2 linked regions of the Arabidopsis thaliana genome follow. The protein of the gene in region 1 interacts with the protein of each later gene in a pairwise test. Each region holds a gene or a part of one and is shown on either strand. Other genes may lie near its edges.

Evidence for each region. The genes of interacting proteins can lie anywhere in the genome.
Region 2: the proteins of FHA2 (region 1) and AT5G18037 interact in a two-hybrid assay, tested with the Arabidopsis thaliana proteins (one large-scale study listed by BioGRID).

The regions. Positions count from the first base shown.
Region 1 is NC_003074.8:2,295,954-2,300,072, forward strand, and holds FHA2 (SMAD/FHA domain-containing protein), read left to right. Parts: upstream 1-1,932; 5' UTR 1,933-2,014; coding exon 2,015-2,609; intron 2,610-2,806; coding exon 2,807-2,964; intron 2,965-3,244; coding exon 3,245-3,454; 3' UTR 3,455-3,619; downstream 3,620-4,119. Other genes in the region: AT3G07230 (wound-responsive protein-like protein), read left to right, coding at 3,967-4,037. UniProt on the Arabidopsis thaliana protein: May play a role in the control of plant organ development and specifically in the regulation of stamen development. Does not show transactivation activity in yeast.
Region 2 is NC_003076.8:5,970,341-5,973,470, reverse strand, and holds AT5G18037 (NAC (No Apical Meristem) domain transcriptional regulator superfamily protein), read left to right. Parts: upstream 1-1,904; 5' UTR 1,905-1,942; coding exon 1,943-2,158; 3' UTR 2,159-2,370; downstream 2,371-3,130. Other genes in the region: AT5G18040 (target of trans acting-siR480/255 protein), read right to left, coding at 1-249, 419-515.

The DNA.
Region 1 (4,119 bases):
AAAACAAACAAAACTAGAAAATCCAATTCAATCAATTTTATTGGAGCATTTAAGTTAATCTCAAGTAGTTTAAACTTGAAAGAGTTGGATTCACAACTTATTGTATACACGAGAAAAAATGTAACAAACGATATTCCAAAAAAAAAAGTCAATTAAAGTGAACTTATCAGAATAACATTGTTCTTCATCATGTTTAAAACCCCAAAACAAAATCCAATTGCAAACACCGGTTTCTCAATGTACATCTCTCAAAAAAACATAGTAAACGACTGTACATAATGAAAATGGGAACTCTTTCTATGAACCATCGAAGACTCCAAGTATTCTATTACACTGGTTAGGGAGTTGAAAAGAAGTAAACCATAATGTGTCAAATCCGATCCAACATCAATTCCGTTAGCGCTTAAGAAGTCTTTTTGCATCTGCAATATCCTGCAATATAACAATAGCACCAAAACAAACTAGTACATAATCAACATTAACAACAGCTAGGAGCAAAAGCACTAGTCAAGAACTTAATTTAACCTTAATTAACAATTCGAGTTAACAAAGAAAGAAAAGAGTACTGAAAGTACCCGCTGCAGAAAAACTGCTTCTTTAGGAGAGGTAGGGAACTGCACTAAACCGATTCCAACAATTAATAGCAAAGGACACTACAACGTATATAGGTAGCTGGTGCAAAGATATACATTATTAATATTGACTAACTGAGAATAGCAATAAGCAAAAATGAGCACAACAGACTCATTACTAACCAACTATGTTTGGCTACGAGCCATAATTGCAGCCTGCAAGAGAGCAAACTAAAAGGCAGAGACAGCTACCAGCAGGCTCAAAATCTTGACCACATGCTTCATTGTCCTTGAAACAAAGTTTATGTAAGATTTGAGTATTGACAATATACCAGAAAAGAGGACTACACTAATGCATTTTCCGATTTCTTGCATATTTGGAGCTGACCATGAACGGGTGCCATTAAAGGATATCTATAGAAGTGAATTCCTTCAAATAACAAATTGCCAATTCTAAATCCATTACGCATAATTTCCACACATCTTAAGCAACTTATGTCCAGACCAGAATCTAGCATAGTCATGATAACTAAAAGAACAGTAAAATGCAACCCAAACCATCAAAATGGGAAAGGAAAAAAAAACGACTTTTCACATTTTCTTGGATCTCATAATACAAGCGGTCAGGAGCTCAAAGCCCTTTAAGCATAATTTGTAGAACCTGAATCTTAAAAAAAAAAAGAAACACAAATACATGATTTCCCACCGTTCCTCAGGATTTTAAACATTCTATAGTCAGATCCTCAGGAAATCAAAGCCATTACACAACACATTTCAGAACATTATAGGCTAAATGATTTGAAAACTTGAATCCTAAAATTCATTAAGCTGCCCCAAAACCAAGCTTCTACTAACAAAACAAACTACAATTAACCATCCGAATCAAACCATGCACCCAAAACTCGAATTGAAATTTGATATATCTAACAATGATTGAGCTGCCATCAGAATGAATTATTAGAAAATAATTTTGTCACGGTTCCTTCAGACCAGAGTAAACTCCAATCATCCGAAACTCAAAACCCTTGCGCAAAATTTTCAATCATCATTTGGCAACTTATTCAATCAAACCAACAACGAAAATAAACAAAAGGTTACATAAAACTAACCAAGCCTATGTTCTAAAGCAAACGAAATCAAAAAATTCAAACAATCAATAAGATGCTCCACTATTTGCGGGAGAGATGGAACCTTTAAGCTCACAGATCTCGCCGCCATTCTCAATGTTTCTTCGGCTGTTTTAAATAGTTGTGTCATTAGGGTTTTTATTCAGGTCTTAAAATCATGGGTATAATCGTCAATTTCACAAAATAAGCCTTTGTCCTGGATAAGCTAAACCAGTTTCCAAACAAATCTTGCTTCGATTCACAAATTATTACGATTGCAATCCCTAATTTGGAAGTCCCGGTTCCTCTTTCGATCAAATCGGAGAATTTCACGGCATGGCTACGGCTGTTGGTGGCGGAAGCGATGTGGAGGTTGGATTTGCGAAGCTTCAAGGTGAGGATTTCGAGTACTATATGCAGTCTTACTCCATTATACTCGGCCGGAATTCTAAGAAAGCCACCGTCGACGTTGATCTCTCATCCCTCGGCGGTGGGATGAACATCTCGCGCAACCACGCTCGGATCTTCTATGACTTCACTAGACGACGCTTCTCTCTCGAGGTCCTTGGCAAAAATGGCTGCCTCGTTGAAGGTGTTCTTCATCTCCCTGGGAATCCTAACGTCAAGCTCGATTCACAAGACCTTTTGCAGATCGGAGACAAAGAGTTCTACTTTCTCCTACCGGTTCGGAGCATCTTAGGCGGGCCGTTGGGACCTAGGCACCACGTCTCTGGGCAAACAAGTGTTGTTCCATACCATAATTATCAGTCGGGTCCAGGTTCTGGGTCGGGTAAGAAGGGCGTCAGGAGTAGAGAGTTGTATGAGTACGATGATGAAGATGATGATGACGACGACGATGAGGAGGACGATATGAGAGGAAGTGGAAAGAAAACAAGGAGAGATGGACATGAAGTAGTATATGCTTCCGGAGGTAAAACCAGATTGCTCATGATTGTTTGAGTTTTCATTGTGCAACTAGATATGTTTCAGATTATGATGCTTACTTGATCACATCAGGCTTGTTTCTTTAGACTTTGATTGTGGTGGTTGCTGATTGAACCTTGTTAGACTTGGATTGAATTTGAATGCTAGTGACACCACGACATTGTATCTGCTTCATTTGTGCAGAGAAGAAGAGAGAGGGAAGATCAAAGGTAGATCGTGAAGCTGATGATCAACAATTTTTGCAGCTGGAGGAAAAAGATGTTGTATCGTCTGTTGCCACTGTGCTTTCCGATTTGTGTGGTCCGGGAGAGTGGATGCCTATGGAAAAACTTCATTCGGTGGTTAGTTTTTATGAGAAAGTTCCTTGCCTTTTTCTAATACAGAATGTAGTACGAGTAATCAATTGAAACAAGACTTGTATAATGTCAAGGTGATAATTAGTGTGAAGCTAGGTCCTTAATTAGTTTTCCAATGGAAACGCGCTACGCTACTTATATGTGTCTAAGTCTAGAAAGTATGTCAGTTACTCCATAGATTTTGAATGACTAGTGTAGTCTGACTATGAACTTCTTTGTGATTCAATATGATGGCTAATGCATGGTAGTGGTTGGTCTGTGACAGATATTAAAGGAGTATGGAAACGTATGGCATCACAGTCGAGTAAGAAGATACCTATCACAAGAAGACTGGGCTATCCCTGAAGCAAAAGGTAAACCATGGTACGGTTTGCTGATGCTGCTGAGAAAATACCCGGAGCATTTCGTCATCAACACGAGATCAAAGGGAAGAGTTACCCTTGAATTCGTTTCCCTCGTTACCCTACTCTCATGAGAACTTTACCTTAGTGACTCGGATTAAGATTTAAGAAGCTTTTCTCTCTTTTCTTTGTTTCATATGTAAAATATTTTGGCATTGATTAGTAACACGCTGTGTCGTTTTTCTGCACCCAAAAACGCCAACTTCTTGGTCCTTGCAGTTGAGAGATTTTGATTTTCTTTTTCTTGATTCTTATTTTTGATAAACCCATCGAGATTTTTCTTTCATCAAAGGGCAAAAAATTCGTGCCAATTCAGAAATCGTTATGTTCGGTGGATTTGGGCCATAAAAAGAGAAAAGGCCGAAACAGAGAATGATCCAAAGTGGCTCAAGTACGTATCCAGACAATATAAAAAGGTTGGAATGTGCAAACTTAGGGTTATACTCGTATCTTGTAGCAGCCACTAAAGCAAAATTCTGAGATCGAAAAAGCTATATAAAAAAAAAAAACTGCTTCCGTTTCATCGATTTTGTCCAGATCTTCCCCTTCTTCCGGTAATCGAAGCTTACGAGATAGTTGAGTGAAGATGATCTATGATGTGAACTCTGGTCTATTCAGATCCTTCCTGAGCCAGAAGGGTAGCTCGTCCGACAAAAGGTACAAAATCTTGTCTTGTCTGATCCAAATATGAGATTATCTCGATGTTGTTCCCAGATCTATCTATTGATGTGTCATTCTT
Region 2 (3,130 bases), on another chromosome or scaffold:
CCTTGAATGTACATCCCACATGTGCCCAATGTTCTCTTCTCGGTAGCCCTTTCTTGAAAGCACATTCAAGGCAGTCTTTGACAGTGAGTGGTTGCTCCCTCTCCCTGCACATCTTACCTCTTATTCCAGACATTTTCCACCATATACTGATGCAAGTTTTCGATAGTGAACTGAGAGCTTGGTTCATCCATTTCTCCCTGGTCGTCTTCCTTCCCAGCATTATCCACCAAATACTGAGCTGAGACGCATCTGCAAGACAAAAAAAAAATGAAAATGTTGTAGTCAATTCATATGACTCTTTCAAAGGATTAGACTATATTAAAAAGGGAGTAAACTACTATCAGCTAAAATCAATCACAGTATCTCTTAACGATGCGAATAAAGTAATGTTCTCTAGAACAAGATTTGATTCATTTACCGTAATCTTCTTGCTCACTACTTGCTTTTACGCAATCTGGATGACAGAGGCCACGCGTCTTTGCCATAGATTGCATGAATCGCTGAATCATATTCATCTTCGATTACTTATCCCTGGTTTCAAGTAGAATCCAGCAGAAGAACACATTCAGAAATCCAGTAGAGTCAAGCAGATAAGGCAAAAGGAAAAACAAAAACAAGACCTAACTAGCGAAAACCATAAACATGGTTTCAAGTTTTGACATAAACACAACCATTTCTAGTTGCAGAGGAAAAATCGTCGAACAAGAAGCTTTAGAGTAAACCAAAGTAACAATGATAGCTTCCATTAACAAAGAACAACTCTAACGTTAAAAAGGATTCAAATCATTCATCCAAAAAAAAAAGTTCAAACCCTAAAGTTTATCTCTGTTCACTAATAGCACTGAGAAAGGCCAAGTCACGGAGTAGAATCGGTAACAAATCCAAAACAAGCTAAAAGAATCCAACAGAGAGAGAAAATTGAGAGAAATTACCGGAGACACAGAGAGACGAGAATCAGAAGGAGAAGACATTCGCAATCGCCGTCGCGTCGAGAGAAACTCAGAGAATGTTCGCGAAACAAACTCTCACAGTCGTCGCGAAGATTTCCCCTCAGCTTTGTCCCGAAACGTGTCGCCTTTTTAAGACTTCAACTTTAGTCCTCAAGACGACGACGTTTGAAACTTTCCTTAAAACGTTGCCGTTTTTATGACATTGCCAATGTTTTTAAAAGTCTTTTTAACAACATCGTTTTTGCCTGTTTATTTAAGGGCAACAATTATAGTTTAACAACAATTTTCTTTTAGGCTCCAATGATGATGATCCAACATTTTGTTTTTCCGAGTTAGACATCGACTTATTCGTTGTAAATAGATTTTTTCTCTTTCTTCTTGAAAGAGTACTTGTTCTAAAAGTTTAGAGAGTGGATACCATTTTTTGTGCAACCGATCACGATCATGTCAATGCATTTTTTGGAGAGCAAGAAAATATTTGAGGCATAAGCTTCTTCAAGTACTAATACAAGTATCTCTCCATATCAGAAGAGCAAGAAATCTTCCAGTCTTTGAACATTATTTAGATAAGTAAAAGAATAATCTTGTTTTTTAGTTTGTAAAAAGATATAAGACAAAATAAGTTTAAAAAGAAAATAGTAGACAAAATATCATACGCTAAAACCAACATTACAAATTTGAAAAGAAAAAATGTGATATTGGCTTACTTATCTAATTTTAAGAATATTGGCTTTGAATTACATGGATATATTTCCTTTTTAAAGAATCGTTTTCCTAATATATTAAAAATCCTTAAAATCCACATATATATACGAAATCACCTTTTCTATTTGTCTACCTGAAAGTTTCAAGTCTTCAACGCGTTTATTATTGTTTTTCAGTTTTGCTCTAAAGATCATTTGTTGTTCCCCTTGGATTATTGCTATAATATATAGATCCTTAACTTTTTGTCTGATTTGCGTTTTCTTTGTCTCATAGAACAAGAAAAGAATATGTCGATGGTTAAGTACTACGATAAAGAGGAACATGTTGGGTTTTGGTTTCATCCTTCTGCCCAAGAACTCATCATCCGTTATATCGGGCCTAAGGTTACCAAAAGATCAAATAAAGAATTTGAATTAGAAGACAAGTTTGACATCTATGCCAAAGAGCCGTGGCGGTTGTCTCACACCGAGACTAACTTTTTGGAACCTAATGAATGGTTCTAGTTCGTGAAAGTGAATCATCTCTCTGAAAACGTTACTGGAAAACGCATCAGCCGCAAAGTCAAAGGAGAGACGGTTGATGGATGTTGGAAAGGCCATGGGAAGTTGAGTGATGTCGTGTTGGAAGATACCGGTGCAGTGATTGGGAAGAAGTCTAAGTTTCTACGTCAAAGGTGAGAGACAAGCCAGTGGTTGGACCATGACAGAATACTATCTCGAAAACGGTGGCTCATTATTCCATGTTCAAGTTCTCTGCCACCTTAAAGGACCATGATTATGTGTCTTGGTAAATTTTCAGTGAAGAGGATAATAACTTCTACTTCTATCTTATTTTACTTCAATTTTGTGTCTAGTTTGATATTTCCCTTTGCATAATTTATTTAAATTCCTCATAAAAACTTTAGGAAAATCTCGTATATTCTTGTTTATTTAAAGACATGTAGATCATTATTTTTATGAGGAGTTTGTAACTGCTCACCTTCTTGTTTTCACAAACGAAAAAATATTTTCTTGTTTTGAGGATCAAAGAGATTATCTCATCTAATATATGAGATATTAATAATGATCAGGCCCATCCATGCCTATGAAGGAAAAAGAGAAACTTTGGCCTACGAAATGGATAAGAAATTGGTTAAATTAATGGGAGATTTGCAAAACTATATTTTTTGACTACCTTTTTGCCATAATACTCTTTTATATTATTTATTTTTAAAAATATCTTTTTTCTTGAACAGAATGACCAAATTACCCTCATTTAATAATAACAAGTACTTGGAAACTTTCAATTTCCCGCCAAAAAAAAAAATTCCGGCAAACTTTTTTTCCCGCCAAAAAAAAACTTTTCCGCCAAAAATTTTTCTCGTAAAATTTTTTTCCCAGCCAAAAAATGCTTTTAAAAAACCTTGTAAATTTTTTAAAAACTCTTTAAAAAACCTTGTAAAGTTTTCTAAAAGCTTTGGTAGTTGCTAAAAACCA